2 linked regions of the Rhinolophus ferrumequinum genome follow. The protein of the gene in region 1 interacts with the protein of each later gene in a pairwise test. Links are inferred from orthologs where the notes say so. Each region holds a gene or a part of one and is shown in the gene's direction. Other genes may lie near its edges.

Evidence for each region.
Region 2: the proteins of IQUB (region 1) and TMCC2 interact in a two-hybrid assay, tested with the Homo sapiens proteins (2 studies listed by BioGRID and IntAct). The two-hybrid records come from large-scale screens. The link is inferred for Rhinolophus ferrumequinum from reciprocal best matches to the Homo sapiens genes IQUB and TMCC2.

Annotation. Positions count from the first base shown.
Region 1 is NC_046309.1:20,955,152-20,971,575, forward strand, and holds the start of IQUB (IQ and ubiquitin-like domain-containing protein), read left to right. Parts: upstream 1-9,770; 5' UTR 9,771-9,853; intron 9,854-14,976; 5' UTR 14,977-14,980; coding exon 14,981-15,452; intron 15,453-16,424. Other genes in the region: NDUFA5 (NADH dehydrogenase [ubiquinone] 1 alpha subcomplex subunit 5), read left to right, coding at 74-139, 2,770-2,871. UniProt on the Homo sapiens protein: Adapter protein that anchors the radial spoke 1 (RS1) complex to the A microtubule of outer doublet microtubules in axonemes. The triple radial spokes (RS1, RS2 and RS3) are required to modulate beating of the sperm flagellum.
Region 2 is NC_046305.1:25,950,531-25,967,489, reverse strand, and holds the start of TMCC2 (transmembrane and coiled-coil domains protein 2), read left to right. Parts: upstream 1-10,933; 5' UTR 10,934-11,185; exon of another isoform or gene 11,186-11,317; 5' UTR 11,318-11,410; coding exon 11,411-11,617; intron 11,618-11,954; exon of another isoform or gene 11,955-12,680; intron 12,681-16,959.

The DNA of each region.
Region 1 (16,424 bases):
TTTTATACATATATATATGTATATACATATATACATATATGTTTTTTGTTTTTTTTTTCCCCTTAAATTATAGGAACCAGATGTTAAAAAATTAGAAGACCAACTCCAGGGTGGCCAAATAGAAGAGGTGATTCTTCAGGTAAAGAAAAAGTTGAATATTTAGATGTTTGGCTTCAAATGTTCAAAGGCACAATGTATAGAGGCACAAAACTGACATTCCAGGAAGAAAGGAAAACTCAGTTTCTTTGCTTATATCAACTCATCAAATATAAGACTAATCACACATAGAAAATACTTCTAATTTGTATGTCAGTTAAATATTTATCATTGATTATAACTTGAATTATGAGGCTTCTGTTGGTAAGTTTGATACTCTGAATTTAATAAGCATGTTCTTATTAGTCTCACCGTAGTTCATATTAGTAACACAATATTACTGTTATTTGAATAATTTTTACTTATTAGATACAAGTACTTGTAGGTTTTAAAGGCTTGGTAAGAATACTATAGTTTTTAATTAAACTAGGGGAAATGACGCCTTTCTTTTTTGTTGTGCATTTTTCCCCCAATTACCAGTAAAGTTAAACTTTTAAAATATGTTCTTATATTTCATGTTTTATTAATTATTAGTATTTTTACTCTTCATTTGTTTAGTGTTTTTCTTACAGATTTCTTTGAGTGTTTTTTTTAAAATAAATGATGTTAACCTTAATCTTTTGCACTTTTGCAAAAAATGCCTGACTGTTTTTTTTTTTTAGTCTGTTTTTGCCTTTTGATTTTAATTGAATATTTTCTCCAATATGTAGAGGTTTTTAAATTTTTTATTTGGTCAAATTACCTCCCCCTGCACACTTTCTCCACCCCTCCATACCTTCCCCGTATATGGGTCTGATAAATACTCAGTTCTGTTTCATTTAATTTTTACACTTTTTGATATTTTTCAAAAACGTAACTGTTCTTAGATTTTTTTTGCCTTTTATCAAAGACAGACAAAAGGAAATACTGGATAGTATTAGGGACTAGGGAGGTATTTTACCAGCAGACATGATACTCGGAGGCATTGGTAGATGGCTGTTAAAAGAGGAATAGGGCATTCAGACAGCTGTCAATGCGTGTACACTGTTTCAGTCGTTCAAATGCCTGTTTTCATGGCCTTTTTATTTATTTGCCAGGTTGACTATAGTACTAGATGTAGTGTTATGGGAACTTGCTGCAGACTTTAATTGTCCTCGTCCTATTTCTCTTTCTTTTCTACCTGATTTCACTTTGATCATGACTTAGTTTAGTTGATATATTAATTTATCATGTAATTATATATCTAAAATATTATTGAAACATAATATAAAATATTGAGCTATTTTTCATTCTTTTTTAATACTAAGTCTTTAAAATCTGGTGTGCATTTGATACTAGCAGCACATCTGAATTTGAACTAGCTACATTTCAAGGGCTTACTCTGTAGTCACATGTAGGTAGTGGCTATCATCTTGGACAGCACATTTCTAGAGGGATACCGTGAGAATGAGGAAAGGACAGTGTATTAGAAGCTTGAGAAGAGGGAGGGAGTGGGCAGCGGGTCATATGCAGCTGGGTCCAGCTCCTGGACGACCTCAGTGACGTTCAGGGCTAGATCCCCTCCCAACACTGGGCAAGGGCTTGGGGCATAGAGAAAGCATGACCGTTCAGGAAATCCAGGGCAAAGGGCAATCAGACAAACGGCCATCCTAAGGGATATTTTAAATCAGTATTTATGCAGTTTTCTCATGTCAGTTTTAGTAAATACTTCTACCCCCAGATTTCCATTAATCTACTCTTTTGATTATATACATTTTAGACTGTTACTGCTAAACTTAGATTGGCTGTTTCGCACCAGTGGCATAAATGAGGCATTGCCTTTTAACTTTACAGACTCTGATAGAACCTCAGCATTTATTTTGTGTTTGAATTCCTTTCCTGACATCCTGACAAGTATTCAACAGTGTCTTAAGTTGGCCAGAGTTGTCACCATAGGTCTTTTTGTTCTAAGAAAAAATGAGAAATAAAAAGATACCTAAAAATATATTTGTTAAAGGTGTTGTAAAATTGTGTTTGAAAGGAAAAATTGAATGTAACATAATCTGATTAAAAAAACTAATTCAAACAATAAATATATTTTTTTTGTGCACCTATTTTGTTCTACATTCTATACAGCACAGTTTTACAAATTGTGGTCTCCAGTGACGATGGGTTATGAAATCAGTTAGGTGGTTTGTAACTAGCATTTAAAAACTACAATAGAAAATAGTGTATTTCAGCTATATAGTAAAGGTAATGATATTTTTAGTTTTGTTTGAGTTATATGTGCGAATTGTGGATCCCTTAGTAAAATGTATTTCTTTTCTTTTTTTAATTGTGGGCCAGGGTAAAATAAAGTTGGAGAGCTATTGATAAAGATGAAGAGACATACTTTTGATCCTCCAGAATTTGTGTTCTGATGGTGAAACAGACAATTAAGATTCAAAACTCACCAACTAAACTTTTGAACACTCTTATAGTAAATTTTAAACAAATAGAAGAAATCTAAAGCTGTCCTTCCTTTTTTATGGTGATTGCGTAGCTGTGAGAATTACAGTAATTTAATTAATGTTCAACATTTGATGATGGAGTAGCTTATTTAGGTTTTAATGTGAAAGTAGGAGCTCTATATAGTTACATTTCAGTTATTATCTATGATAATTATCTATTAAACAGTATAATCAAATGATCTTTTTAAAAAAATTTTATTAACAGGCTGAAAATGAACTAAGTCTGGCAAGAAAAATGCTACAATGGAAACCATGGGAGCCTTTAGTGGAAGAGCCTCCTGCCAACCAGTGGAAATGGCCAATATAATCATGATTAAATGACTTGTGTGTTGACAGGAAAATGATATAATTAAATGTTCTGTTGTATCAAAAATGTTTCCATGTTATTGACATCTTATAATCAAAAAAATTGATATAAACATATTTAGGAGACTTGTTAAAATTGATGATTATGTAATAGGAACTTACGAATCAGTTTTGGTTTATAGAGCATTCATTCAAATTATTTCAAAGATGATATTTTTTTCAAACAGATGTGGGAGATTTGGAGGTTAATTAGAAAAATTCCTGTAGATTTCAACACAGAGGCCATGTTTGAAGTCTGAAGTATTTTTAGTATTCAGCACATCATTTAGTGTTTTTTATTCTGAAAAAAAAAACAGAAAGGTACTTATTAGTAGTAGTAGTAGTATCATTATTATTATTATCATTATTATTGCTTATATAGGTCATTGTTTAAAGTGAAGTAGTAAGAGTAAAAACCGTTAAATTAAGAGTGCATTGTACAGTTGAGGAAATTGGTATTTGAAAGATTGCTTATTTATAGTGGTACCGTGTTTCCCTGAAAATAGGACTGGGTCTTATGCTGATATTTGCTGCAAAAGATGCATTAGGGCTTATGTTCAGGGGAGGTCATCCTGAAAAGTCACGCTAGGGCTTGCTTTCCAGTGAGGTCTTATTTTCGGGGAAACACGGGAGTTGGAAAAACTTTTGTCTCATTTAAGAAGTTAGCTTTCTGACCCTCGCCTTTTAGTTTTCTTTATTAACCAAACTACATCAAGATAGAAAATTTCTGTAAAAGAGGAGATATTAAAAGTTTCTAAAGTTTATCTGGCATACAGATAGACTTACATTCAAAACATTTTTGTATAGTTATAACTTGAAAGTGGAAGCACTAACTAGTTTTCACTAAGTTTCCAGTATAAGTGCACCTGGATATCAAAAAAGATAAAAGCTGTTCAAGGAAAGAAGCAGTTGACAAACAAAAATAAAATTACTTCTTGTGTGTTCTCACCTTTTCTTCCTAGCCCCCTATGATTTCTAAGTATTCTGCTAAATTTGGTATTTCTTACCTTCAAAAATAGTACTTTTGGCCGGGTGAGGGGGGCGTGCACGCACGCATGTGTATCCTGCTATTTCTTGTGGCAAGGCAGAATCTTTCAGAATGAGAAAAATAATTGTATTTTCCCCAGTATATTTCTCCCCGTATAAAGTTGTAAATTAAATGCTAAATAAATATTAAATGAAGTGGGTTTAGTTAACTTTTTAGCAGTCAGACTATAAGAGAAGGCTTACGTGGGGGAAGTGGGAAAAGCATTGGAGGGAGAGTTGGAAGGCCAGGGGTTCTCATTCCCATGGTTCTGGCACCGTCATGAACTCCATGACTAAGTGGAGGTAAGTTGTCAACCTCTCAGAATGCCTATTTCTTTCTCTGTAAAAGAAGTAGAATTTGTGATTTTTAACTTTCTTTTTGGTTATAAATATTCGTTTTAAGACATAATTCATTAGATTTATTAAGAAAATAATATCCTAAAGCATGTTTGCATAGATGCTTTCAAGCTAATTTTCTAATCATTTCTTTCAGTCCTTTGGGCACATAAAAACAAAGCTGGCTTGATGTGTCTTTGTCAGTACTTTCAGCCCACTTCTCCCATTATTCTCGGGCATCTTATATAGAGCGTCAGTGGCTGTTAATAAAAGGGGACCTTATTGATGTCTGCATTAGAAATGCTAGTTATAGAATAGGAGGAGTATTAGCAATAAAATAATAGCCAATGTTTGTTAATGTTTGTCAGGCAGTGTTCTAAGTACTTGACTAATGTTACTCATTAAATCTGCACTCCAGCTCTAAGACTGCGATCCTGCAAATTATCTCCATTTTCCAGATAAGGAAACCAGAATCCAGTGTGAGTAGTGCTCCCCTGCAACTGTGCAGCATGGGGATCTTGGAGAAACTAAAGCACAGAGATGGTATAACAACGTACCCAAGGTCACATAGCTATTAAGATGTGGAGCTACATTTTGAACTTGACAGTCTTGCTCCAGAACTCATCCTTCTCACCCTTACATTTTGCCTTGTGAATACTTGGGATGCTGGCGGTCCTGCCTGTACTGTGTGAGCTGCACCAAAACAACCTAGATCCTGCTCTCCTGACTATCAAAAAGAACACATATGAGCAGGCGTAGTAAACTGGACTTCATCTCGTGCGAACATCTTCACCTGGATCACAGGCAGCCAGTGGTGTGTCTGAAGGGCATTATGGTCCATCCTTTTACATTTACTGACTGCCATTCTAACTGCCCATACATCCGGACCCCTTCAAATGCTTTCCGGTTGCTTCCTGTAAACTTCCCGATTAAGCTTTCCTGATTAATTGGAGATGATTCTTCTATTTAAAGGTCTTTAGTGTTGTTAAGTGGCTTGTAGACTAATTTGAGTAATTTTCAGAATGGCCCATTTCAGCTCTCCCTAGGTCCATATGTTTTATTCAAGTTAATTACATTAATTACCATACTCCAGATAGTTTAAAAGAAAAAGCTAATGCATTTGAGCTTTGTAAACAAAGAAAATGGCAGCAAAATAGATACCCCCTTTCTTCTAGCTGTGGATTGAGTGCAGAATATTCAAATTTCTGAGTATTCTGTTCTTTGGGATGAAAATGACTTGTATCTGAATAACCATAAGACTTTTCATTTAAACTGTAATGATTTCGATTGTGAAGGGAAGTGATAATTTCATAAGGATAACAGGTTTGATGTTATCCTGTCAAAGTACCTATAAAGAACAAATACGAACAGAAGTAGTAAACTGGATTGAGACACCAACTTGGAGTAAGGTTCAGCTCTGAGGGTTGCCATCCTTTATACCAGGCGAAGTTGGAGTAGTCTGTCACCTGAATAGAATGAATATGATGCCATTAGTGGCAGCCATCATGTGCCACCAGGCCTCCGGTTTCACTGGGCCCCATCACTGTTATTCTCCTTGCCTTTTCCTCAGATTTGAGTGATGGAAGACGCTTATTCTGATTGTCTTACTTCTTTTTCTAATCCTAAAGCGCAGTTAGCAAGGTGAAGCTGAGCTTTTTGTTACAATGCAAAGCAGGTTTATTTGCACGCAGAACAATGAGGATTAGGATACCAGATAAAAAGGAAAGCAGTCTTTCATCAAATGGAGATCAAGATTCTTAAGTAGCTGACTTAGTACAGTGGAAACTTGCCCTGTTGCCTTTAGAAGTTACGTTTCCTCACCTGATGCTTCAGCAAGCATTTCAAAGAGGTCTTCCCACTGTTCCAGTTCTTCTAATTCCATCTGACAGCCACAGTGGTATTCCAGTCAATCTGTGTTCTTCCATTTTCCCAGGAGTTCTTCTATGAAGACACGAGTTCAGTTTCACTATTCTGAGAAACCAAGACCTCCAATCTTGCAAGACCTTCCTTAACATGTTCTCCAACAGGAGTTGACTTTGGAGCTTGTATGCCATTTCCCCAGTTACCTATATCAGGCCTCATGCTTTCTTTTTCAAAGGGAGAAAACCAACAATATTCTGTATGAGAAAACTCGCACATATAGGCTAATACCAGCTTTTTCTTCCCAGCCTCCATAGTTAATATAAAGAAACAGAAGTTAAAGAACCCTCCCATACAAGTGTATTATAAGGATCTAGGGTAAAGTGCTAAGTTGCTGAACCATGAATGCTTTTTGCATCTGAGGGCAGAATTTCCTTTCAAACTTGGCTCTCAATGGGATTACAACCTGTGCTCCAATAATAGTAATACTCTGAGGAAAAAAGTAAATGAGAAGATAGGAGTTTGGAAGAGGATGAAGAGGTTTATTTTAAAAAGAATTCACAAGAAATGAAAGTGGGGATGTGACACGGGATTTGAATTATTGATGGGTACTGGAGAAATTTACTCCATTCTTTATTTAGAGGTAACAAGCGAAACCTAGTTAGTAAAAAAAGTAGTGAGAAAAGTAATGAGTTGGCATAGGCTACCTGCAAATCCCACAGTCTTAACACAAAGAAAGCTTGTTTCTTACTCATAGGAGTGTACATGTCTAATGAGGGTTGACAGTGTTCAAAAGAGTCACAAGGGATCTGGGCTGAGGATGGCGCCATGTCAACATGTCATGGGCTACAAACACGGGCAGGAGAAAGGGAACGTGACACATCACACACAGAAACAAAAAAGAAAACCAAGTTTAAAAAAATTTTGAATGTGCTGTAGAACTCAAATTTATCTTGCCATGCATTGCTAATAATGAATTTTCAGAGATCTTTAGGTTTATATTACCAGCTAATTTTTTGCAGTGTGTTTAAATGTAATTTAGGTGGAATAGGTTTTTTCTGTATATGACTCTGTAAATGAAAAGCATTGCAGAGATTCTTTTTTGGGATTTCTCATGATCTTCAAATATTTTTTCCAGATAAACATTTTAGGCATTTATAAAGATAAACATTACTATTTTATGACAGAATATTTCGTTTTACTCTTTTGTTTTTCTTTTCCTGTAACAGGAGAGTTGGTTCTTTTACTCAGGGTAAAACAGATTGAAAATTTCCTATTTAATTTCCAAACTCCAAATATGTTGAAAACAGAATATTTTTTCATAACTCATTGGATGTAAAGTCTGACCAGAATTGTCATAAGGCTATTAGTAGTCTTTATCCTACTTTAATGTGAATATGAATATATTTTGCCACATAACTACTAATGTATTTGATTCTGCTTCTCTGATTCTACTTCTCCAGACTCACTGAATGTGTGACAGAATACACCTTTTAAAAATGGGAAAAATCCCAATTTTCAAACACATCTGTCCCTATGATTTCAGAAAAGGGACTATGGATATACTGGCTATTTCCAGTCTCTTAACAAGCTCCTGATCCAAATTTATGATCCAAATTTAATACATATAGATAATTTCCAAAGCATAATTTTAAGTCCTTGGTTTTCTAAATTCTAATATTTTTTCCTAATTCATTTACATCAAAATACATTTTAGTCTGAAGTAACAATGGGAAATACTTTGATATGCTTGATTTCATAAAGCCACTAGGTAGCATCTTTGTAAAAATAAAATCACATTAAGAGAAATGTTTATTTTGTAAATAAGTGCTGAGATAAATAAAGACATGTTTCGTGAGAAACATAACTTATTTGGGGCAATAAATCCTGAGAAAATGTACAGGTTTATTGTGAAAAGTAAATGGAAAGTGATATAAAATTACGTTTCCACTTTTAGAATGGAGAGTTTTTCCCATTGGTTGTTTTCAGCTTGCATTTACATTCATTTTATGTAACCAATTAACTACAGTATATATTTGTGTGTGTGTATGATTTTGATGTGCTACAGTAATAACCAGAATGGACTATCTGGGAAGCCTACCAATTAAGTTAGGCTCAAGTGGTTGTTTAAAATCATCTCCACAGAAAACTATACATAAAACGTGAACATATCGTGGGTATCTAGTCACATTTAACACTTTGAAGTACTTAAATTTCTTTACCACCTTGTTTTCTTCCTTTCATCTTCTGCCTCTATGCCTAAACCTAGTTTTTTTCATACTGTCCCTAACGTGGAAGGCAGTGGATGATAAATTTTAAAGAGGAGACCCAGAAAGGTGAATGTTTAAAACCAATGGAATTCTCATTACTAGTAAAATTAAGATATATTGTGGTTTTGGAGATGGGGGTGGGGGTGTGTTTGGAAGCACTTGTCTGCACACCTCTGATCACACCTGCTTTACCCATAAAGGACTAAACCTAGTGTTTATCTGAATGGTCCTTTCCCTCCTTTTGTCTGGTCTTCATAAATATGGATTCATGCAGTGATTTAAATACATTTGCTTTATTTAAAATCATTATTAAAGCCAGTTTTATCTGAATATAATATGTATTTTTCTAGTAGTATATTTTAAAGTAGGATGAAGACTGAAAAAATGACATTGGACATTAGGAAGTTACTGGGAGATGAGAACGCAATTTCAGTAGAATTGATACAAAGGAGGGAAGACATTGAACATTATGAAGGAGGGATGGAACTGTACTATATATAACAACATTTTTAATTTTATTATTTAATCTTACAACCTTTTTAAATAGCAAAGGATGTTAACCAAGGAAGCACAGAATAGTGGTTTAAAATTGAGGCTCTGAATTCAGACTGCTGGGTTTAATCCTGGCTCCCTCACTAAACCTCTAAACCTTTTCCTCATTAGTAATGTGGGGCTGATTAGTTTTCCTTAAAATCATTGTAAGGATTAAATTAGAAATATAAAGTGCTTAGTAACAAATAATAAATGTTAGCTATTATTATGAAATAGACACTACGTTTGTTACTACATTTGCAATAGGAATATAACTTTCCCCCAATAGTTTAAAAACTTCAAGTTGAATAATTTATAGTGATAGGAAAATAAAAAAGCCTTTATAATTTAGTGATTAACAAAAGCTATGCTTCTCCTGACTTAAAAGAGGAATTTAGTAGCTCCTGTCTCCCTTTTCTCTTTGGATGCCAGGAAGCCAAGAGACAAGTTCTAAATTTAACAAAAATACGTAGGTACCTACTGTTGTGTTGTGTTTTCCTTTGTCAGTCTTCACTCTCATTACATATTTATATTTTCTGTAATCCTGATTTTTTTATATCTGTAAGGGCAAATACAGTGTTTGGCTCGGAGAACTGTGCCCTTTCACAAGTGTTAAAAGGGATCTCGCAGAGTGGTTAGAGTCCAATAATTGAGGTCTAACAAGTAACAACACTCCCCGCCTCTTGCCCCGCCCCACCCTCCCTCTCTCGCCGCCTGGCTCCGCCCCTCGCCGCCTGGCTCCGCCCTCCCTACCATTCCAGCTCGGGAAACGCCTATTCTCGCGGGAGCGGTGCGGAGGCGGGAGGAGGTGGTGCCACGGTCGTTGCTGGGATACCGCCGGCAACAGACTCGGAGTGCGGACGCTGCTTTCTAGGAGCTTGAGGAAGCCCTGCGACCGGCGTAGCTGCGTGTCTTGGTCAGGTAGGAGGACAGAGCCTGGCTGCCCTCTGCTGGCTCGGCCTAGACCGGCCTGGAGTCAGTGACTGCAGCAGTGGACGCCGAGGACCGTGTGCCGGGCGCTTGTCCCGCCCGGACTCGGGACTGCTTGGCTCGTCGGGAATGTGCCACTTGTACTTTAAAATCCGTGCACAGCATCCCTTCTTTCTTGGTTCCATTTCTGGCTCCGCAGCTCTGATTTGGGATTCGGAAGCAGAAGCAGCAGCAGCAAGCTAGGAGGCGTACCTCCCCTCTCACCCCTGGGGCTTTTCACCTTCATAGTGTAGCAACAAGATGTGTGTGTAACCCAGACCTGGCATTAGACAATGTTCAGCCTTCCATGGTGACCGTTTTCATTCTTTAGTAACTAGAGGGCTTACAGACGTGCCTCACTGGCTCTCTCTCCCTCCTCTCCTCCCGTGGTCTTTGCTGTGCCGCTTAAAACACTTTAAAACTCACGCCTTTTTTTGGTAGAAGGCAGAACTGGATCCCTGCCTTCCTACTTACACTAACATTCTAGATCTGCCAGTGACATCATGCTTTGTTGGTGAAAGGGGGACTTTTCTGTATGCAATCATCATAGAGACTGCTTTGCCTTTTTAAACAATTTTTAAAGATGAAAACATTTATTTTTGAATAGATGATACATAAACCTGACAAAAAGTGAAACAGTAAAAGGAATGAACAGTGAAGATCTGCTTTCCACCCAAGCACTCCCCCACCGCGTCGTCCTCCAGTTCACCTTCTAGAGAAAGTCTGTGCATGTACGAATATGTCCTACTGGTGCCTGTAACACTGTGTTATACATGCCGGCCTGTGCTGTTGGAGGCCATCAAGAGGATGGGACTGGGTTGACCCTGGAACTGGACGGAGCATTTGGAGGTTCCTTACCCCCTCCACTGCCCTTGGAGGTTCTGCCCACGGGTCCCGTCCTGTAGTAGCAGGTGCTTCAAGGATGAAAATAGTCCTTGAGAGAGTAATGTGCTGTTGAGACCATCTGGTCTGTATTCAACTCAGCCTGGTTAAGGCCTCTATATAAACTCTTAAGATTTTGGTGGGGATTGCAGAGATCTACTTACTCCTTTTGCAGCTGCCCAAGACAAGCCTCCTACGTAAATTCGGTAGCTTATTAAAACTGCCACTTACTAACTGGAGTGGTCTGCCTCTTTTTTCAGTTTCTCCTTCTCTTACACGGGGGCAAGGGGCAGTTTCTGTTTTTTCACCCCAGGAGCGCTGGCGGTTGCTCACCAACAGCTTTGCTCCTTCACTTAATTGAATCAGATGGTATGTAGCCTTTAGAATTGGCTTCTTAGCATAATTCAAGATTCATCCATGTTGTTGTGTGTATCAGTTTATTTCTTTTTATTGTTGAGTAATATTCCTTTAAAAAAAATAAGTTTCTTGGATACTTTTTTTGGGGGGGAACATTGGGGAACTGTGTTTCTCCAGGGCCCATCAGCTCCAAGTCAAGTTGTTGTCCTTCAATCTAGTTGTGGAGGGCGCAGCTCACTGGCCCATGTGGGAATCGAACCGGCAACCTTGTTGTTAAAAGCTCGCGCTCTAACCAACTGAGCCATCCAGCCTCCCCAAATAGTATTCCATTTTATGAATGCATCACAGTATGTGTATCCATTCATCAGTTCAGGATCATTTGTGTTTCAAGTCTTTGGTGATTAAGAATAAAGCCTTTATAAACTTTTGTGTACAGGTTTTATGTGAATGTAGTTTTTCATTCCACTTGGGTAACGACACAGATTGCTGAGTAATATGAAGTGTATGTTTAATTTTATAAGAAAACTGACAAACAGTTACCCCAAATCCTATGCCAATTTTCATTTTCACCATCAAGGTATAAAAGCTACTTGTCTTCGTACTCACTAGCTGTGGGGATAGAATCCCAGAGAGCAGTTTCCAGGCTCTCGGCCTCACATGGAATGGGTGAGGTGGCCAACAGCTGGGTGTCCATCAGCTGTTACTGGTTAGCCATTAGCCACTGATATAACTGCCGTGGGTAAGCTAGCAGGGGTGGATTGCAGTAGCAAGGGGTTGGTTGGTTGGCAGAGAAGCAGGCGGCGGGTTGCGGCTAGTAAGTGGGGTTAGCAAGCATGGATGGTGGATTACACATCGTGTGGATCCTACTTCCTGTGTCTTGCCCGGCCGCCAGCGAGACTGGGGTGCAGGAAGACCCCGTGTTGGGGCGCTGGCAGATGTTTGCTTTTGTGTCTCTACCAGCCGCCAGCAGGAATATAGTGGTATGAACCCCCATCCATGGCTCCGTTGGTGTTCCTTTTTGACCTCACCATATCCTGCGTTCTTGTGCGGGGAGTGGGACCAGAGTCCCTGGATGAGCCCTTGATATTGTTGGACTGAAAAAATATATTAACTATTGTAATAGGTGTGTAATGGATTCTCATTGTGATTTACGTTGTCTTTCTCTAATGTCTAATGACATTGAGCATATTTGTTCTCTGGGCCAGGACTAGAGTAAGGCAATTGAGGCAACTAGGTCCAAAATTTTAGGAGGCATTTCTTCTCAGTGCAGCACCACTCTTGCCTAGATCTGGCCTTGCTTATTTGCCTTCTGTGTATATTCTTCGGTGACGTGTCTTATTGAAATCTTTTATTTTTTTAAAAAAAAACTTTTATTGAGTTTGAGAGTTTTGTATATATTCTGATTATAGGTCCTTTATCAGATGAGTTTTGCAAATATATCTCCTACTCTATGGCTTGTCTTTTTCGTTTAGTTGTGTCTTTTGAGCAGAAGTTCTGATTTTGTTGCTGTTGCTGATTTAGAAGATTCCATCTTTGCCATTTTAGAGGGATGATGGCTCGGCAGATAGAGCCAAACAAGAGCATTACTCCAAAAAAGGGCAGATGAATCCGTTGCTAGGAGTTAGGGCTTCTTTACGATACTCTCTTTCTAATCAGGCCGTAATCTCTGTTATGGGAGAAAATAACAAAAAGGAACATTTTTTTTGTGGGTGAAGGCTTAAGAGCTTTCTTGAATTTTTTTAAAAATTGAATTTTTGTTCAGTTTTATCTTATTTCACTTTTTTCCTTCTTTATTGTCTTGGAATTTTAAAACTTTATTTCAGTTATTTTGTTTGTTGTACTTGAAATTTAACTATGCATATTTAATTTAACAAAGTCTAGGGTTAAGAATATCATATCCCCCAATTTTGTAAACAGTATAAGGATTTGAGAACTGTTTATTCTGATCTTTCTCTTCCCAATTACATATTTTGTCTAATATTTTAATTTTCTACTATTATTTTGTGTTGACAATATTTGTTTGGGTTTATCCATATATTTATGATTTATTTGTTCACCTTTCCTTTTTGCTCTTCGGATTTCCTTTGGGCCTATTTACCTCCTCCTTCAAGTGTATCCTTTAGAAGTTCCTTTACAGCAGATATCTTGGTGGTAAGTTATTATACCGTTTCTATTTCTTTCTTGAAAGATAGTTTTGTTGGGTACACTATTTTAGGTTGATAGTTGTCTTATTCACATTGTTGCCTTGGCTTCTGTTTTTCTGATGAGAAATCTGCAGTGATTTTACTTTTCTTTGCTCTGTATTAATGTCAGCAAATTAATATAATTCAAAACAGTAGGTGGTATGTGCTTTATCACTGTTTGCTTTCTGGACCTCCTCTTTGTTATTCTGTAATTTAATTACAATGTATATGGCTATGAATTATTTTTATTTATCCTGTTAGGTATAGATTTATGTTGTGCTTCCTGAATCTGTGGTTCTACATTTCTCATCAGTTTTAAAAAATTCTCAGCCATTACTGTTTTAAATATCTCTTTTCTTCCATCTTTCTGTTTCCTTCTGGGACTTTAATTTGACATATGCTCGATTAGGGCCTGGTAGACTTTTTCTGTAAAGGACTACACAGGCCACATGCAGTCTCTGTTGCATATTCTTTGTTTTCTTTATTTTAGCAATATAAACCCATTCTTAGCTCACAATAAGATATATGCTTAGCAGAAAAATATACTGCACTTTTTCTCTTTTCAATGGCTTCTAATCTCTCATATTTTCAACATCCTTATCTCTTTGAAACATTCTCTATAAAAATCTCTTTATTTATCTTCCAGTTTACTCATTCTCTCTTCGACTCAATTCATTGAATTCAACACCTATATATTTTTATTCCATATACTCTCTTTTTTTTTGGTAGTCTGTCATCTAGTAGCCAGAGAACTTCACTGACTAAGGTTAATTTTTTTTTCCATAAGGATTTGTGCTTAAAGTAGAAGCCCCAAACACAGCTTCCCACCTCCCCCCCCAACTACTGTTCCAAGTTTTCATCTTCCCCCCTGCTGGTTGCCACAGAAATCAGCCTGGAGGCCACTCCCTCTGTACCCCCTTCCTGGCTGCTAGCTTCTGCTGGTAGCTGCCTGCTGACTGCCTCCTCACTCCTCTGAACTGCTCCTGCCTCTGCAGCTTGGTTCTGGGCTGCCCTGGGCCACCCTGACCCCAGCCCTTGGACGCTCACTGTCACACTGTTTCCTGAGCCACAGCTCTTGGTTGCAGGAGCTCAGACCCCAGTCAGCTCTAAGATCAGCGCGCATTTGTTTGTTGGTATATTTGTTTTGGGGGGGACAGAGGTCATTGGAGACCTCTGCTACCACTCGTGCGAGCAAAGCTACTTCAGGGAGTGTGTACTGCCTAGGATATAGTTGCTGTGTGAACTGGCACGTTCCCTGAGCTTCCAATCAACTGTAATGCCAGAGCATAAATCCTGTGCTAGTTTTGTAGTCAGAAAACAGTTATTCGAAAAGTCCTTCTTTCACAAACATTTACTGAATAAGGAAGAGATGACAATATATTTTAAAATAGCTTTCAGTATGTCCTTCACAGAAGAGTTCTCTCAAATTGTGCTTTGAATTTCTCTTTTTGGTGTATTTTTTTTACTTTCTGTCGTGTTCTTATTAAAAATTCACTGATGTTTTTACCTGATGACATTACTAAGATAATCAATATTAAAAAAAATAATGAGCACCATTATAGTATATTATGAACATTACTGTATGCCAGCATTGAATTTGATATTTGGTGTAGAAGTTTTTATGTACAGTAAAAATTATGTTTCTCAATTCAGGAAAATGTCTGATCAGGAGGAAGAATTTACTGCTCAGAATATTCCTGATGCGCCAGGAAAAAGAGATGGTGTTTATGAGACGATCACTATTCCAGTTCCCTCAGAAGACCTTCCCGAGTCAGATCAAACTGAAGACAATGAGTCTGAACCAGAAGAAAATGAGCCTGAACCAGAAGACAGTGAGCCTGAACCAGAACCATCTGGTGGGGGCCACGAAGTGCGTTCAGAGGCGCAGAGTGACCAGAGCGCTTCAAACCTGGAGATAAATGAGGAAGAACAGCTTCTGGAAGAGATTATGTTACCTGAACAAGCTCTGGATTCTCCAGTATATTCTGAAAAGCACAGTCTGACTCAGTTGGATAATGCAATACAGTCAACCAAGCAGCAATCAGACGATTACCATCTGACATTTCTGGATAAAATAAAGGCTGTAAAGGAATCTCTGAAAACATCAATGCAACAGGCCTTAGCAACAGGTATTACCTAGGGAAGACAGGGTAAAGCTATTTGTTTCCCTCATTTTGAAGAATGGTTGCTTTTTCTTGTTTGTTTTTGCTTAACGATTGGTTTTATGTTTGATGTTGCTTTCCTTTTCTCTATCCACCAAACTTCTCCAGCTGTACCACTTGAATCTCTTCACTGTGTGGGAAGCTTGTCTATTCTCCAGTATCTACTCTCCTTAAATAAGTGAGCATCTTTAAATTTTAAATGGATATTCATCTGTTTTTCCCAAATAACGTAGGTTTTAAAAATGTGTAGGGAGCTTGGGAAAAGGTGGACAAATTCTTGAGTATAATAGTAATTTTTTTGCATGCCAGTTTGGAATTAATTGGACCCAGCTAGCAAGTGGTAGGATAGGAACTTCAGACTTCCTAGTTTCCTGTCCAGTGCTCATTCCACAAACCATGTTGCTTGTACATAGTTCCAAATTTGTGTGTAATGTTACCTTATATTTATCTTCAGAAAAGCTACTGTCTTTCATTAGAGGTTCGTTTTCAGGATATGATGTTGATGGCATGTAGCAGTTACTACTACATTGCTGGTAAAGCTTCAGGGGGAGCTGCAAGAAGGCAATTGGTTACACAGGGAACCATCCTATGTGCATGGTTATCTGACTGCTCCTACCCCTTGCCCTCAAGTTTTGAGAGAGTTTCCATTCACAGGGTGGAGAACATGGGCCATCGGTTCACAGCAGTAACAGCAGCTTAATTTGGTAAAATGTCGCTTTTGAATCCAGTGGGGTAGTTTACCCTGGTGTGATGTGTGCACATAAATAAAGCGTCAAAAGGAGGAAGGAGAAGAAATTAATCAAGCTCAGTTATACATAACTGAAGCTGTTAATCTTCAATTTCTCATAATTATTCAGAGTCAATTTGGACTCCATTTTTTGATATTTCTGTGATTCCCTGATATTATAGCTTGTATCAGACACTTGGTGGTTTAAAAAG
Region 2 (16,959 bases), on another chromosome or scaffold:
AAGAGAAAAGCCCAAAGATCCTGACATCAGAACAAGAGATTTTTGTCTGACTTGTTCACTGCTGTATTCCAGCACCTAAATAGTTCCTGTCTCTTAGTAGGTGCTCATTAGATATTTGTTGAATGAATGAATGTTCATTGTAGGCATTTTTGTGTATTCAGGAAAGCACAAGGGAGAACATAGAAACCACTCATATTTCTACTATCCAGAAAGAACCAACAGGTTATATTTGTATCTATTAATGTTGGTCCTCATTGGAGGTAGAGAGATAGATGAAATACACATTAGCCTTTCTAACTTTACTTTTCTAACAAATTCTTCTAACAAATTCCTTCTAACAAAAGGAATTTGTTTACCTTTCTAACAAATTCTTCTTGGTTAAATGATTCTAGAAAGGTTCTGAAGCCTTTGCCCTCATGTTCATGTAGATGGAAATCAGGTGGTTTTGGTGGAACAACAAAAGACATTAACATTTAATTCATCCATGTATATCAGAGACAAATTAAGTAATAGAAAATATAACTATTCTCTATTGTACAACCTAAAATCACAATCACTAATCCAAGAATTAAGAAACCCACAAAAGAAAGAAAAAACACAACAATTAAACACTTTTCAAGTTTTCCATAGATATTTCTTTATTACTTTTCAATTGTTGTCATCTTCTAAAGTTTTCACTAACAGGCAAGTGATACTAGGCTCCAAAGAAGAGAGGAAAAATTGTAGAAAGAAAGATGAGATAATACAATTGGGGAAAGATTACCATTATCAAGGTTAGCAGGAGAACATACCTTCTTCCAGCTCAAAACTGATTTCCAAGGGGACATGTTTGTGAATCCTTGTTCTGGACAATCTTGCTCGCTGCTTATTCTGTGTATTCTGACAGTGGTGCAGTGCAGTGCTTCTGGAACTTCAATGAGCACAAGAATCATATAGGCCTCTTGTTAAATCTATTTCTAATTCATAGGTCTGGGGCAGGGGTTAGGATTCCACAGTTCTCACAAGCTCCCAGGTGACTCCAACGCTGCTGGTCTATGGCCCACACTCTGAGAAGCAAGGCCGTAGGGAGACACAGGAGTCGGCAAATCCTCACAGTTGAGAGCGGAGAAGAAGAAGAAACTCACGGATGTCAAAATAGGGGAGTTGCCAAGGTGGATACTGATGCGGGATCTCACCCCTAAAGGCATTGCTGGAGCGTTTCCAAGAGGTTATTACCGGTATTACAACAAGTATGTCAATGTGAAGAAAGGGAGCGTCTCTGGGGTTTCTATGGCAGCTTACGTGCTTTTCAACTATTGCCGTTCTTACAAGGAACTCAAACGCGAGCGGCGATGCAAGTTCCACTGAATAGGGCTCAGTGTGGAGGACACACTCTGCATTCCTGACCATGACCTTTGCCCAGCACCCCTGAATCCTTTCGTATCCTGACACCTTATAAAAGATGACTGTTTTGGGAAAGGAAAGAAGGAAGGGAGGGAAGGAGGGAGGGAGGGAGGGAGGGAGGGGGGGAGGGGGAGGGGAGAGAGAGAGAGAGAGAGAGAGAGAGAGAAGAGAGAAGAAGAGAGAAAGAGAGAGAGAGAGAGAGAGAGAGAGAGAGAGAGAAAGAGAGAGAGAGAGAGAGAGAGAGAGAGAGAGAGAGAGAGAGAGAGAGAGAGAGAGAGAGAAAGAAAAGAAAGAAAGAAAGAAAGAAAGAAAGAAAGAAAGAAAGAAGAAAGAAAGAAAGAAAGAAAGAAAGAAAGAAAGAAAGAAAGAAGAAAGAAAGAAGAAAAGACGGGCTTGGAGTCCAAGAGACCTGCATTCAAATCTTCGCTCTACCGTCTTCCCATTTGTATGCCCTGGAGATATTACTTATTTTCTCTAAGTCTTAGTTCCTCATCTGTGAAATGGGGATAATAGTACCGTCTTCAGTAGGGTTATTGTGAGCCTTAAAAGAGCAATGCCAATTATGAATCTCAAGTTATATCAAAACAAATTGTTTTATAAAAAGCAGTATCTGACTCATAAATGGTGGCTGATTTTATCAATTGTGTTATTATGACAAATTTGAATTCTAATCCTGACTTGCTACGTTACCATCTTGGGCAAGCTGTTGGCTTCTCTGAGTCTTGGTTTTCTCATCCATCAAATGGGATAATGCCCAACTCATAAGGTTATTTTGAAGATTAAAATGGGAGGAAAGTATAAAAAATGTTCACACAGAGCCTAGCACATAGAAAGCGCTCAATAAAAGGTAACTGTGAGATGGTGTGATTGCTATAAACCTAGGTTCTAATCCTGGCTGTGTAAGGGAGAATCCTATGATTACGCTCAACAGCAATCTGTTATTGGGAAGATGGAATGAGCCATAGTAAATGAAAAGTGCTTTGGAAGTTAAATTTAGAGAAAACCCTGAGAGTCAGAGAGAATCTGACCTGAGTCGCAGTACTGGCTGTGCTGCTGCTCGCTTTGTGATCTTAAGCAAATGACTTAGCTTCTTGGAGCCTCAGTTACTTCATTTGTATAGTGGAGCTAATATCTACTTCACAGGCTTGTAAAGATTGAATGACATAATGTGTAAAGCAGTTGGTACCTTGCCTGAAACATAGAAGTGCTTAATAAATGTTTTCTTTCCTATCTATAGTAATTACTCACATTCAGGATTATACATTTTTCCAAGGAGGATAGTATTTCCAAGAATATTTTGTTTTTTGTTTATGAGATTCTCCACATGAAGTTTTATTAACTCGATGATCAAAGGTCTATAAAACTGAACTGCTAAATGCATTCTATTTAATTATACATCAAGTATCACGCCAATGCTGAATATTTCATCGGTGGTATCCCTGGCTGTTAGGATGCAGAACATGGGGAGGAAACACAATCAATTAAAAGGAATTTGGTGTAACCCCAGAGATAATCTTTGTTTTACTGCCAAGCAGAACAACAAAGTTTCCAGAAATTTTTTAGAGTAACTGATCCAAAGCTTTCCAGAAGAAGTCCTGAATATAGTTTTGCCACAACTCATTGCTTATCAGTAAGATTAGAAGATTGATATTGCTTTTCCAAGTCCAAGTGGTTTTGTGGTTTTGATTCTTTCTCCGCTATGTTGCCTTACAGTTTAGTGGAACTGATTTTTGGGTAATTTTCTTACCTGCCCAGCATATAACCTTGCAATTTTTATCTCTCTGGGCTGATTCTGGATGGAGGAAGATGAATAGATGAAAACCTGCCAATACCGTTTTCTATGTCACCGTTGTCTTGGTAGAGGTTTTCTAGAAGATTCTGAAACCTGACTTCTGAAACATATTCCAACTGGCTTAGTATGTATCTATCCATATGTGCCAAACATAATGCCTGAAACAAAGTGTGCTCAATATATGTCATCTGAAAGAAAACATTTCTTTCATATCATCTTCCTGCCTACCCCCTTTCTCATGAATCTAGCTCTGAACAGAGATGGTTTAATGGAAGTGAGGATTAGGATTCTGAAGCAAAGGTGGATGGAAGACATCCTGATCGTGAGAACATTCCCCATCCCCAAATTGTAGAGGAGAGAGGGAGCTCTACCTAACAAGCTTCACATAAACATCTAAGTGCTTGGAAAACAGGCCCTGGAACCTAGCTAAGCTACCTTCCGATGTGTCAGGTGACATCGAAAATGGTATTGGCAGGTTTCTTCTATCATTTTCCTAGAGCTGATCGCAGAAGCACTGATCTAAGGGCCTTCTCAAAATAGGGCTTAGTAGAAAAAAAAAAGATAGGGCATAGTGATCCATTTAGGAAAGTTTCCAGATGACATGTGCACACATCTCCTGCATAGGAAACTTGAAATTTTTTAAGGGTGTAGAGAAATAAAGGAAAAAATAGTATTAAATCTAAAACATCATAAAAATAAATTCATTTCAAATAAAATTTTCAGTAGTCCAATATTCTAGTGTAAAACTTAACGGTTCTTAGCATTCCCTTCCCACGCTTATCCATGGTTCATCCAGATTTTATTCATACAGTTTATACCATCTTTAATTTTTACAACCCTGAAAAGATGGATATTTTTATCCCTGTTTTATAGACAAGGAAATTGAGATCCATACAGCTAATAATCCAGGTTCATCAGACTCCAAAGCCCTTATTCTACTCGTAGCTCAATGCAGTTTTACATTCTAATGTTTTCAATTTACATTATTTAAAGAAGGCTTTTTGTGTTTATGTGTATTTATTATATGTATTTCTCTTAATAGCAACATAACATTCCACTGTATTATTATGCCATTCACTATTCTTGGACATGGAGGTTGTGCCAGATTTTCGTTATGAACATTTTTGTTTGTTGTGTTGTTGCTTGTTTCCTTTTGAATTCTTTTCCAGGATAATGCCCAGGAGGGTATTATTGGGTGAAAGGGTACAGACATTTATATGGCTTTAGCTATATATTGCTGACTTGTACTGTCATTGCATCTTCAAAGAGAGTACTATCTTCTTTCCCCAGCACCCTGTGAGAGGTACAAGGCAAGGCTGGGTGGATTCACCCGTGAAAATAGCCCTTTGTCTCTCTTGCTACTTGGGTATGCCCCAGGCCATCTGAGACTCCCTGAAAATGACTTATAAGTATGCGTGCTCCAGAATGAGATCTCACATGGGACAGTGTGATTCCCTTTCCCAGGAGAGGCTTCCCTGATTAAGTTGTCTTTTTCTCTTTTTAGTCACAAGATCAGCAGAAGGTTTTTCAAGCAACTGACATTTCCCTCTTGATTCAGACTGTAACTCTCATTCTGTGTTCAGAAAAGTTCTGATAGCTGTTAGAAAGGAAATCTAGACTCCAACTCATGGTGTGCCATTCCAAAGTAGGTGCAAAATGTTAGGATAAATTTCACCAAAGAAAGGAAATCCCAACAGTCAGACCTGTAAAAGGTTTTAGGAACTGGCAGGAGGAAGCAAAAGTGAGGAAAAGCCATTCTAGACTAAGAAAGCTCTGTTCCAACCGGTAGAAGGTAATTTTGAGATACATATCAATGTCTTTGATTAATGTCTCTGAATTTGAGTTATCTTACATGACAAGAGTACCATTTGAGGGTATTGAAAGGTTTGGATTGAAATTATATCACATATAATAGGCACTCCATCCCTTGGCAAAACTGCAGTAGGCATTGTGGGAAAAGTACAGACATTGAAGACAAGCAGAACTGGTTTGACTAGCTCTTTCTAACCAGGTGACCTCAGGCAAGTTTTTAATTGTCTTTGAGCCTCAGTTTCTTCTACTGTAAAATGGAGGTTACGATACTTACCTACTACATTCATTTTACAGACTAAATGTGAGTGCGTGCCAGGCATACAGTCAGTGCTCAATAAATAGAAGATATTATTAATTCACAAATCTATCAATAAATGTGATCAACCAAGTATTCCCCTATTCCTGTGTAGTGTTTCTCAAATGTCAATGTGCATAAGAATCACCTAGGACACTTGTTAAAAGTGCAGATTTTCAGGCTCCATCCCCAGAAATTGTTTCCATCAGTTTGGGGTGGGACCCGGGAATCTGTATTATCTACCTAAACTCCAAGGTGATTTATGCTGTTGGTAGCCCATGAACCATACTTTGAGAAACACTGTCCCGTGGTCTCAAAAAATAAAAATAAAAACTGTATTTCCCATCACTAATACACCATAAAATCCTTGTAACATGCAGATGTAAAATTAAAGAGATTCATATACTGAGAGATTCTATATTCAAGATGATTTATATAGTTCTTACCTACGTAAAGGCTTCAGAATCATCCTAAAGCAACATTCTATCTTTTCAGCAATCATGGTAAGGATGACTGTGTGTAAATAATTCTTCCTTAGAGTCATCCTAATGAGATGACAGAGGTCTCTCTCCTCCGGACTGTGCTAATTAATTATATCCCTCTCAGAGTGTTGACAGACATTACCATTTCAATCTTGTGCTGTTGTTTTATATTTCATTTGTCTCATTTCCCCAACCGGACTTTTTAAAATAGAAAGGCAGCGACCAATGTCTTTTATTGTTCTCTACCTTCCACAGGCATCTTGTAAAGCTTTTGTACGTGATATGTTTCATAAATATATTTGAATGAATGCAGGTTCATTTAACTGTAGACTAATACCCACTGATAAATTCTTTGTCACAAGAGTGGGTCAGAATTACAGTCAAGAAATGATGAGATATTAGGCCTTTAGGGTTGGAGACAGAGTACAGTGCAGATCTCAGGCCTATGAAAGTACTATAATCTTTCAGAGCCTGTTTCCTCTTTTGTAGAGTGGGAATAACACTTGCCTTTGTAAGAGTTGTTGTGGGGATTAAGTAAGAGAGTTCACAAGGTTCCTAGCAAAATGCTTACCATCTGTGGTTCTCTTTAAATGGTAGCTTCTTGCTCTTATTATAGCTAAAAGTGCCATATAGAATAATAGATGGAACTGACACTGATATTTATCTTCAGAAGTAAAATAATAAACAACTGATTCTCTCTGAGCAAAGCTATTTTCTTTCTTTCTTTTTTGCTTTCTTTCCTCTTCTTTCTTATTTTTTTTAGGTCTAGCATTTTTAGCTTTGAGTAACAGATTGTCCAGAGGTTTGTAAGGATTCCCTATGCAGATGGGAAAGGACACAAAGCAGCCATTTTAGCAGCCCCAGGCTTTCACACAGAGCAGTACAATCAGGGTTTAAGTTTATGCCTCACAAACCTCCTCTGTTCGTGGTCACGATGATTGTGACTTTTCTCCGATTACCGAGGAGGAACAGCATGCAGAATGAGGAATACGCACCCTACCTGAAATGAGAAGCAGGAACTTCCAGCTTTTTGTAGTACAAATAGGAGATTCACCAGTGCGGAGTCAGACAGACCCTGGGGTCTCCTATGCAGGTCTTAGGGATGTTGTGAGAGAAATGGTCACTAGAGGGGCACTTTGTTTGTTTCGTTTAGTCCTTTAAAACATTGACAGGTACCAGAGATTCTATGCTGTGGAGGAATAATATATACAATTTCTGAATAAAAATAGTAATTACAGTTTTATTTCTGAAGTCAAAAAATTGAAACAATTCTCTAAGGATAAGGTGGCTAGAGGTTAAATAAACTGTGGTATATTCACCTGATAGAATGATAAACAGTCATTTAAAATGGAAATATGACCAAGTTGTAGCAAATGGAGTAACATGGAAAAATGTAATAACATGAAAAATGCTTCTGAGTACATTTTAAGCAAACAACAGGATAAAATTTGTTTAGTCTCAGAGCTAGCTCCAACTCAGGAGTGAAGGAGAGCCCTCCCAGTCCTGCCTGCCTCTTACAATAGCCAATAAAAAGCCTGTATTTTGGTGGTGGGATTGTGACATCATCAACAATCTAACCAATCTCCCTGACGATTATTTGCATAGTTTATTCCTCCTAATCCAGCAGAACGCAATTTCTTTTAAGGAGAGCATTGAGTGGAAGTGGAAATCTCCAAAAGAAAGGGAGGAAAATCACATTAACAAAGGAGTATATTTAATGATGTTGGTATCAAAATACAGTGATCCAAATTATTATATCTAGTCTCTCTAGAGAGTGCTTTCACCTTCTAAGGAAAACACTCTACGTAGTATGTTAAAATAGTTCTTTGAAAACTACCTACTCATTTGATGTTTAAAATTTTTTTTAAGAATTCCTACAAAGTAGGAAACAATTTTCTTGGATAATTTACAAGCCTCTTACTATTGGCAAAAGGAAGGCTTTTATTTCTCAGACTTAATTGCTTTTACAAAACAACAACAACCCAAAACCTACTCCTTGCTTACCTGTTGATCTTGGCAACTTATCCTCTATTATTAAAACTTAATCAGTTTATCAAGCTAAATGAACTGGCTGTTGACAAGGGAACAGGATTCCACAACCCTGATCTTTGCCTTCCTTGTTTATACAATTTACTGGTTTAACAAATTTGATACCACCAGGTGTGCCCCCTTTCATTAGCCTAACTGGGATTTCCTTCCACAAATAGCATTAAGTTTAGTAGGACAATTCTGCCTTTCTCATGTGGCAGACAGGGGGTTAGACACGTTTGTTCACTAACTTTGTTTCATTCAAGTGTACTGGGCACACACACTATGCGTCAAGCATTTTCACATGCATTATCTAGTTTAATCCTTACAATAACTATGTGAGGATAGGTAATATTAGTCCCGCTTATAGATGAGAAAACCAAGGGTGAGAGAAGTTGAGTGATTTCGTTGCCCAAGAACACACAGGGAGTAACAGAACCATAATTCTTACATGTATTTCTAACCCCAAGACCAGTGTCCTTCTTACTGCACCATGTTATTTATTTGTAATTAACTAGTGGTGCCAAAGCAGAATGGAAAATCCTACTCCTACATACCAAATGTAATCTCTTGCATTGTAAATCTGCAACGTTTTGTCCTATCTTGAACATCAAAACATAGTATGTGCCTATATTTTTCCAAAGAAGCCTAAAACAATAGAATGATCAGATCCTTTAAACAACATTTCAACCAAAGTCCTTTCAGATTCTGTTTATCTTAGGTACTCAAGAATTTACTATGGCTAATGAAAATGTGCTCTCAGCTTCAAACTCTATATACTTCCCACCCAAATTCCTCAGCAATTTGTTCTATAATATGACACTCAGTTAAAGTCAGTAATGGGTGAGATACATTTAAATGAATTCCCAAGGATAGAACCATTGGAGTGGAATGTGTGATGCTTTTGAAACTGGATGACATCTCTGATTATAGGTATGGCCCTCATTCTGTGCCAGGCAATGTCTAAGTACCTTACATATGTTACTCAACACCCTCTAAGGTTGTCTAAGGTATCATCAGTATTCCCACTTCCAAATAAGGAATCTTGGGCATAAAGAGGTTAGACAACTTGCCTCCAATGGTCAGTAGAGAGCAGAGCCAGGATTTGTCCCTAGCAGTCTGGCCACGAGAGTCTGCCTCTCCTAAATGGAATGTAAAGTATTACCTGATTTCATGAAACACACCACAGACATTTTATTGACCTGTATTATACCTTGCTAAATATGGCCACAAATAGGAAATTTGGCCATCATGCTATATATACATAATATAAAAACCAAACTTGAGGCCAACTTCAGTCTAGTATAGAAATGAGGCATAAGTCAAAATTTAATGGTCTCCACTTCCTTAAATCTTCACACCGATTTCCTCCACTTTTTTCAGCTTAGAGGCAGGTCATAAACATGTGCTCACCATTGCTGGCCACTGCTTGATACCCAAGACTCGCCTGGAGTCTGTGGGGCTCCTCCACTTCTCAAGGCCAGTCAGGCAGCAGACACCTGTCTGACATCTTGCAACCTGGGAATCTGCCCCCACTGGTTCTGTCTAGTTCTGCCTCCTTCTTCAAGGCATTCTGCCTTTCCCTCACCACTGAAAGTGCTAAGGCTCATATCTTGTGTTTCTACATTGTGTCTAACACTGTGTAGTGGATGTGGGGGGTGGTTCTACATTTCCAGCCCATCTTCAATTCCCATCTTCTAAAAATGGAGCTGCCTAGTTTAGAAAGTAGCTTGCTTGACTGAAGTAAATTCTTAACAATTTAGGCTCTTTTAGGATACACATCAAAATGAGTGGTTGGAATGGGAAAAAGACAGAACAGAGTCAGGAAACTCACAGACTAGTAGGACTGAAGTGAGGTTAGAATAGCATGATGGGTGTAAAAGAGATAGGTAAACTGTAAAATGCTGTAGAGATCATCACTGTGTGACTCACTGACTAATGGCTCCTTCACTACAGTCTAGGCCAATGGTTCTCAAATGTTAGCTTGTGTCAGAATCACCTGCACGACTTGTTAAAACAGATTTCTGGGCCTACAATTTCTGATTCAGTAGGTCTGGCTGGTGTCTGATAATTTGCATTTCTATCAAGTTTCCAGGTGATGCTGATGCTGCTGGCCCCAGGACCACACTTTGAGAACCACTGTTTTAGGCTGCTGGATGGGCAAAAACTCCTATCCCCAGTAAGCATACAGTAGGCACTCAGGGGGGGTTGTTATTATTAGGCTCCATACTTTGATAACCCCAGTATTTGTTCTCTTCTGCCTCCAGATTACTCAGTGCAATTTGGCTGAGATTTATGGGAAAAAGAGATTGCATTCTTTTCCTTCTCTGTCATATGTCTCAATCTCCTGCCATTTAATACCCTTTCTTATTTAAGAGCTGCTTCACAGTTTGCAAGGAACTTTCACACACATTATTGTATTCAAATATATTTAATTTGTCATTTCTGAGCATCAAGCTAAGATTCATACTGGAGTTACTTAAAGTGGGGAAAGGAGAGATGGGGCAGAAGAACACCTCCACCCTTTGCATTTGTAGCGCTGAATATAGCCAAAAGTTTGTGTTTCAGACCATGTTTCCTAGAAAGGATGGGGTCTTCCTCATTGAAGGGATGTATAGTATAACATGAACTGAAAAGTTAGAGCAAAAAAAGCAGTGATGAGAAAGCATCCCTACTGAGCCCCCTACCCACCAAATAAAACGAGTGGGTGGAGGATATCCGGAGAGTGCCTTTACCGGGAGGGTCCCTCCGGCATCTGTTAATACCGGTCCCGGGTGGCCCGCCGCCCCCGCCTCAACTCGGCAGCCGCTCTCCGCAGCGCAAACACGCAGCAGCACAGTCCTCCAGTCCTCTCCTGGGGGCTCACGCGGCGCAACCAACCCTAAAACGTGGCCGCGCGACGCCCCCTCGGCCCTCTGGGCTTCCCATTGGCCCACTGCCGTTGTCACTCCCTCCTTGCCTCGCCTTCCCCTTACCGGCATGTTAGGTTGCGCTTGCCGCTGGCTGGGGCCGCGACCGCTGCTTTGCAGCAGGCAGAGCGCGGGTGGGGAGCTGGGCGCAGGGATCCGGGCGCGGGCGGGGAGCTAGGGGGCCGGGCTCGCGGCGGACTCTGCGACCGGCCCATGCGGGGCGGGGGCCAGGGGCAGGGCCGGGGGCCGCAGCCGGCGCTGAGGGCGGCCGCGGAGGACCTGCCCGGCCGGCTGCCCCCTGCCCTGCCTCGCCCAGAGCCCGGGCAACCCGGAGGGATGCGCTGTGCCTCCAGGCTCCCCCGTCCTGCCTATGCCCTGAAGCAGAAAGTTCGGGGGCCAGGGACCGTCCTCCTCCTCCCGCTCCAATGACTGCCCAAGGACTCCTGCTGCCCAGCCTCGGCTGTGCCCTGCCTTCGCTCCCCAGGTCGTAATGAACTATTCCAAGCTGTAACCAACGCTCCCCCTCCTCGCCCCTTCCTCCCCCTTCTTTAAAAAGATTTATTTTTTAATTCAAGAAATTGTCTTCCGCCGATTCCTTTCCTCGTTAATCATTTAGACCCTGGGCCTCGTTTTTGAGTGTAAGGGGGTGCGGTCTCCCCGAGGACAGCGCTCTAGAAGGGCAGAATCCCCTGGCCGCCCCACATACATCATGAAGAGGTGCAAATCGGATGAGCTGCAGCAACAGCAAGGCGAGGAGGATGGAGCTGGCCTGGAAGATGCCGTTTGCCACCTGCCGGGCGCGGAACTCCGGCCTGGGGAGGCCACGGGTGCTAACTCTGCTGGCGGGCCAACTTCGGACATGGGCGCTGCGGTGGCGCCAAACCCGGGTCCCCGAAGCAAGCCTCCGGATTTAAAGGTGAGCACAGACCCTCCCCTGGCCAGCCTAGCCAGTGACTTAGCTTTTCCCGCTCAACGCAGAAGTGCTTTAACAGGATACAAGTGATGGGGAAGCCAGGCAAAGGTCAGAGAGGATGTTGGGCCAGAACACTGGGCTGGACGTCAGGTACCATTTGTGCCTCTGTCGTTCAGCTCCATTTCAGGCCTCTGTTTATTCCTCATTATTCAGCAGACATTCTAGTGACTCACCCATCCGAGATTGTTTGAATGATGTGTGTGAAGTACTATTCTCAGACAAAGGGCTGGAGAAATCCAAGAAGCTAACTAAAAAGTTGACATCACTTTCCCTCTTGTAGGATGATAGGAGAAGAAAATGACAGCGTGGAAGGCCAAGCAGAGGACCATTAGTTTCCTTTGCTGTTTTAGTTTCCTCCTTTTGGGACCTTCCTGGATGAAGCTCAGTTTGTCCATCTGTGAAAGGGGAGTGTGGATTTCTTGCCGTTAGGTGGAGCCAGAGATTAAGCCAGTGCTTGAAGATCCCTGCCTGCCTGCGGAACCAACCCCCAGGGTGGAGAACTGACAGGTGGCCGATTGGTGCTTGGGCTGGTTTGGGGCCTCGGTTCAAGTTGCACACATGCTGAGCCGGCAGTTAGAACCAGAAGCGGAAAGAGCCTATCACAGGCAGCTGGGAGTTGTTTATTTCCTGGCCTGAGGTTGCCGGGACTATTATGGAGCTGTATTGAATATGTCTCTATATTAATTAAAACAGCAGCTGGGATAAATAATGCACCTTTGCTGGAGCTGCCACAGGGACTGCACGCTCAGGCTTCTCAAGCCAGCTCCCCACCAGCTTGAGCGACATGATGTCAGCCGGAGGAAGGAACTTAGATACCCTGGAAATTGATGCCTCAGAGAGATTTTCTCCAGAGGGGGTGCAAGGTCTTGCTAGGGGAGCAAAGAACTCTGTTATGTTAAATAAAGCCTGTATCCTATAGCAGCAGCCACTAAGGAGCTCACCAGAATAAGCCAATGACATTCCTCATTTGGCCTGAGCGGCTCAGAGTCAGGAAGTCAGAGCGCAGGTGAGTGTGCTCTTAACCTGTGTGTGTGTGTTACCTGTTTGTGTTCCTTGGGGAGAGGTGAGAAGGGGGACAGTTAACTCTTTGTGCGTACTTTAAAAAATTGTAGTAGTTATTCAAATGTGACCTCTGGTTCTGCTGCTGCCCTTTTCAGAGGTTCGAGACTAGCCTTATGTCTAAAGATGAGCTCTGCTGGCTAGGCTGTAACAGGACACTTGGCCCAGCTGTCACCCCTGAGCCCACCCTGTGTGCTCAGGTGTGGGTCCTATTTTAAATGAGATGGTAAAGGGACAGGGGTGTCCTTAATGCTGATGTGGGTAGGGGCCAGCCTTCTGCTGCAGACTTCAGCTTCATTCTGGGTTGATTCAGTTGAGTCTGGCCAGAAAACCCTGATTTCTTGACCAGATGGGACCCTCGCTCTGAGTCCATGAGGGGCAGCCTTGGAAACTCCTCATGCTCCAGCTCTTATGACAGCTCTAGTAAACTGCCAGCTCCATTCATTTTCCCAGTTCGGTTCCCTTCATGAGGATAGGTGAGCTGGTTGTGGAGTGGGGGCTGCAGTGTCTGTCTGTGTAGATAAAGCTGCTTGAAGAAGCTCATTCCCCTCCACCCTATATCATACCTCTGTCTCTCTCTCTGGTGACACCTTCATTCTGGTTGTGGCAGTTACAGCAACAACTCTACGCTTGATATTAAATACTGAACTTCCCTGAACCAGAATTAAGACCAGGTTTGAGAAAAGGAGTCATACCCCCCACTCCCAAGAAAACATACCACCAAGGTTGATCACTGCTATGTTGACCCAGGATGGCAGCTAAATGGAAAAAACATAGCTGCTGCCTGCTCAGTGGAAGCACCGGGAGACTGGGGGGGCTTTTCCCGTTTATCTCTGTCAGCTTTCTCACATGTTTACAGGGTATGGACTTCAGAACAAGACATGAGCTTAGGGGCTATCGCAACTTGATTTGCTGTGTGATCTCAGGCAAATTACTCAACTTTTCTGAGCCTTTTTCTGGGGAAAGGGACTAGGAATATTGAAGTATGTCTGAACATGTTCTCTAATGCTGGAAAAGTTGTTTTCCAGTGTTTGGCACAGTTTGCTAGTGATGGAAAAATTCAGTCATTGGCTCTAGCACTGGGCAGAAGCTATCACCCCTGTTTTAGACTTGATGGTTGTACCAAAAAGGAGCAAATTTAATTTTTAACACCTCCCCACCCCACACGTGTGTTTGGCCTAGGTAGGACCAGCAGTTCTGGCTTGCTTTTGTTTTCATTTTAAACTTTGGAGATAGGAACTTTTGGTCCCTTAATCCCACTTTTATTTTCTTGTAACAGCTCTAGGCATTGTGATGGATTAAGTGCTTTGGGGGAAATCATCTTGACAAAAACGACAAGAAAATAAGAGGCTTTGTCTGAAGTACCTCCATTGAGGTTGGTTGCCGGGAGAGGAGAGAATTTTAGTCTTTGCCAGAGATCCGAATGATGCCCTCACTAGCGGCAGTTGGAGGTGCCAGGAGCTCCTATGGTCTCCCTCCATGGTCCTTCAGTGTTGTGGAGCACCCCAATCTACACTGTAAATTTCTGCTGCAGTAGCCTGGGATTTGTGATTATGGGGTGGGGCGGGCCAGTGAAAAGAAGGAAAAACAGTTAAGCAGCAGTCTTAAAAGAGCAATCATAAAACTGGAACTGAATGGGGTGGCTGGTTAGCTCAGTTGGTTAGAGTATGGTGCTAATAGCACCAAGGTTGCTGGTTCGATCCCCTCATGGGCCACTGTCAGTTGTACCCTCCTTAAAAATAAACAAACAAACAAACAAATACATAAAACTGTAACTGAAAAGTAACCTGAAAATGGACATTGCCCCATAGGAGGCTTATGCAGCTATATTGGGGGCCTTCTCAGCTACTCCTCGCACTTGGCATGACCTGGGGAGATCTCATTAGACACTCCTGCAGCAGAAGCCCAATAACCTAGAGTCACACCCCCAGTTCCTCTTTAACCCCTTGAGCCTATGTCTTGATTCATGTGTCATCATTATCCAGTCCTTTGCTGCTACCAGATTCCCTGCTACATGGGACGTATGCCATGCCAGGATTTCTGGTCACAGAGAGTATTGCCTGACCAAAAGTACACTGGAATTCTCCAGCAAGAAAACTCAGCCAGCTCCAGTGAGAATGGGAGTGGGGAGGAGCTCAGGGGAAAACTGCAGAAAGGAACATGGAGCATACATTCCTGTTAAAAATACAGCATGTTATAGATATTGCTGAGATCTAGGATGAGTGGCTAAGCATAAGTCAGCTGGTTCTATCCTGATGTATTTTAGAAGCCAGAAGACAGGGGAAGAAACCCCTGACCTCACCACCTCTCTCCCCACTTTCACCTCTCCCCACCCAACTCTGGTACAACTGGAGGAATTGAGCCTTTCCTGAAAGGAAGTCTCTGGATGTGCTGGCCAGAGGCCTTCCCTGAGGTTCTCTTTCCCCTCACGAAACCCCTGCGAATAATTTCCCCAGGGATTTCTGAGCAGCATTCCTATTTTTCCTGCAAGAAAAAGGTCGGGTTGGGGCTTAAAATGCCATTATTCCAGTCCTGGTTTAATGTGCTTTTAACCCAAGACTCACTTGGGTTCTGACTGGTGTTCTTCCATTCCCATCATATGCTGGTCTTCATGCCGATTTAGGAAGGTCAGGAAAAGCAATTAGGAGCCAGATAGCTGAAGGAAAGTCACATCTGAATTCTATATGATTCTCCCTGCTGGTGCTTCAGCCTGCCCCCCCGCCCCCCCCATGAATGGCCCGTGTTCCTTCAGCACTCCTGTAGAAAGCCCACTGGAGAAGAATCATGGGTCAACAGGCACTGAGCACCTTCAGTGGGAAAGGCACTGTTTTAAACTGAAATATGACATGCATATGAAAGTATCTGAAAAGATATGTCCACTTTAAATAACAGTAGCAAAACAGACAGCCCATCTCCCTACTGCCCAAATCAAGAAAGAGAACATTAGCATTCCCAAGAAGCCTCTGCTGGTTTTTCTGTTCTTTAGTTTTTTTTGTTTTAGTTTTATTGGGGAACATTGGGGAACAGTGTGTTTCTCCAGGGCCCATCAGCTCCAAGTTGTTGTCCTTCAATCTAGTTGTGGAGGGCGCAGCCCAGCTCCAAGTCCAGTTGCCGTTTTCAATCTCTAGTTGCAGGGGGCGCAGCCCACCATCCCATATGGGAATTGAACCGGCAACCTTGTTGAGAGCTCGCACTCTAACCACCTGAGCCATCTGGCCGCCCCTCTGGAAGCTCAACGGCAGCTCATCTTCAATCTAGTTGTGGAGGGCGCAGCTCACTGGCCCATGTGGGAATCGAACCAGCAATCCTGTTGTTCAGAACTCACGCTCTAATCTACTGAGCCATCCAGCCGCCCCTGATTTACTTTTATTTTTAAGGCTTAGGGTTTTGGTAAAATTTTTGAGTCTCAGTTTCTCCACTTTTTCAGTGGAGGAGAAGACAAGCTATTCATAGGAATGTGAGTAGGACGGAATATGTGTGCTCTGGGGCTCGAGGGGAAGTTCTGATGGTAGAGTGTGGCTCTCCGTGGCCTGGCTGCACTGTAAGGTTCCTGGTGCTACTTTAGAAGTGATATGTTGAGTCTTGAACATTCCTGCAATCTCAGGTGGGAGCTGGAGCCCGGAACAGGTTTCATCAGGGGAGGCAGAATTGAGGTAGACCTAAGAACAAGGAAATGCAAAATTAGCTCTGGCAATAAGCACTGCCTTCGCTTGCAGGTAAGCTCCCAAACATGATGAAATACTTACTTGCAAGCAAGTAATCCATTGAAGGACACATGAGTTTAAGGGTACTTAACGCATCATGCGATGAAGTCAGAAGCATACGGGGTTAATCAGAAAGATGTCCTGAGCGAGGTGGGCATAGAGCAAGATATTAAAGAAAGGGTGGAATGTCAATGATCAAACAAGAGGAGTGGGGCTTTCCAAATGGAGGAAGGGAAATGGCAAGTGCCAGGTTCTTGGTAGCACCAGCGTCCTTTTTGAGTGGAATGGTCATAGTTCAGTGAAGGATGGTGAGAATGCTGAGGTCGCCTGTTTTTATCCCACCTGCACCTAACATGTGGAGGGTAGGAGTCCTGAGGCCCAGGATTGCCCACTCTCACCCTTCTGCCTTCAGTAATATTCAGAGCAGCCCTGTACGTGGGCTCGGGAGGAACTCGTGACTGATGGGAAAGCATGTGGCAAAGGACGCTGTCTGTTCTTCTGCCACATACTGGGTTCTAGATG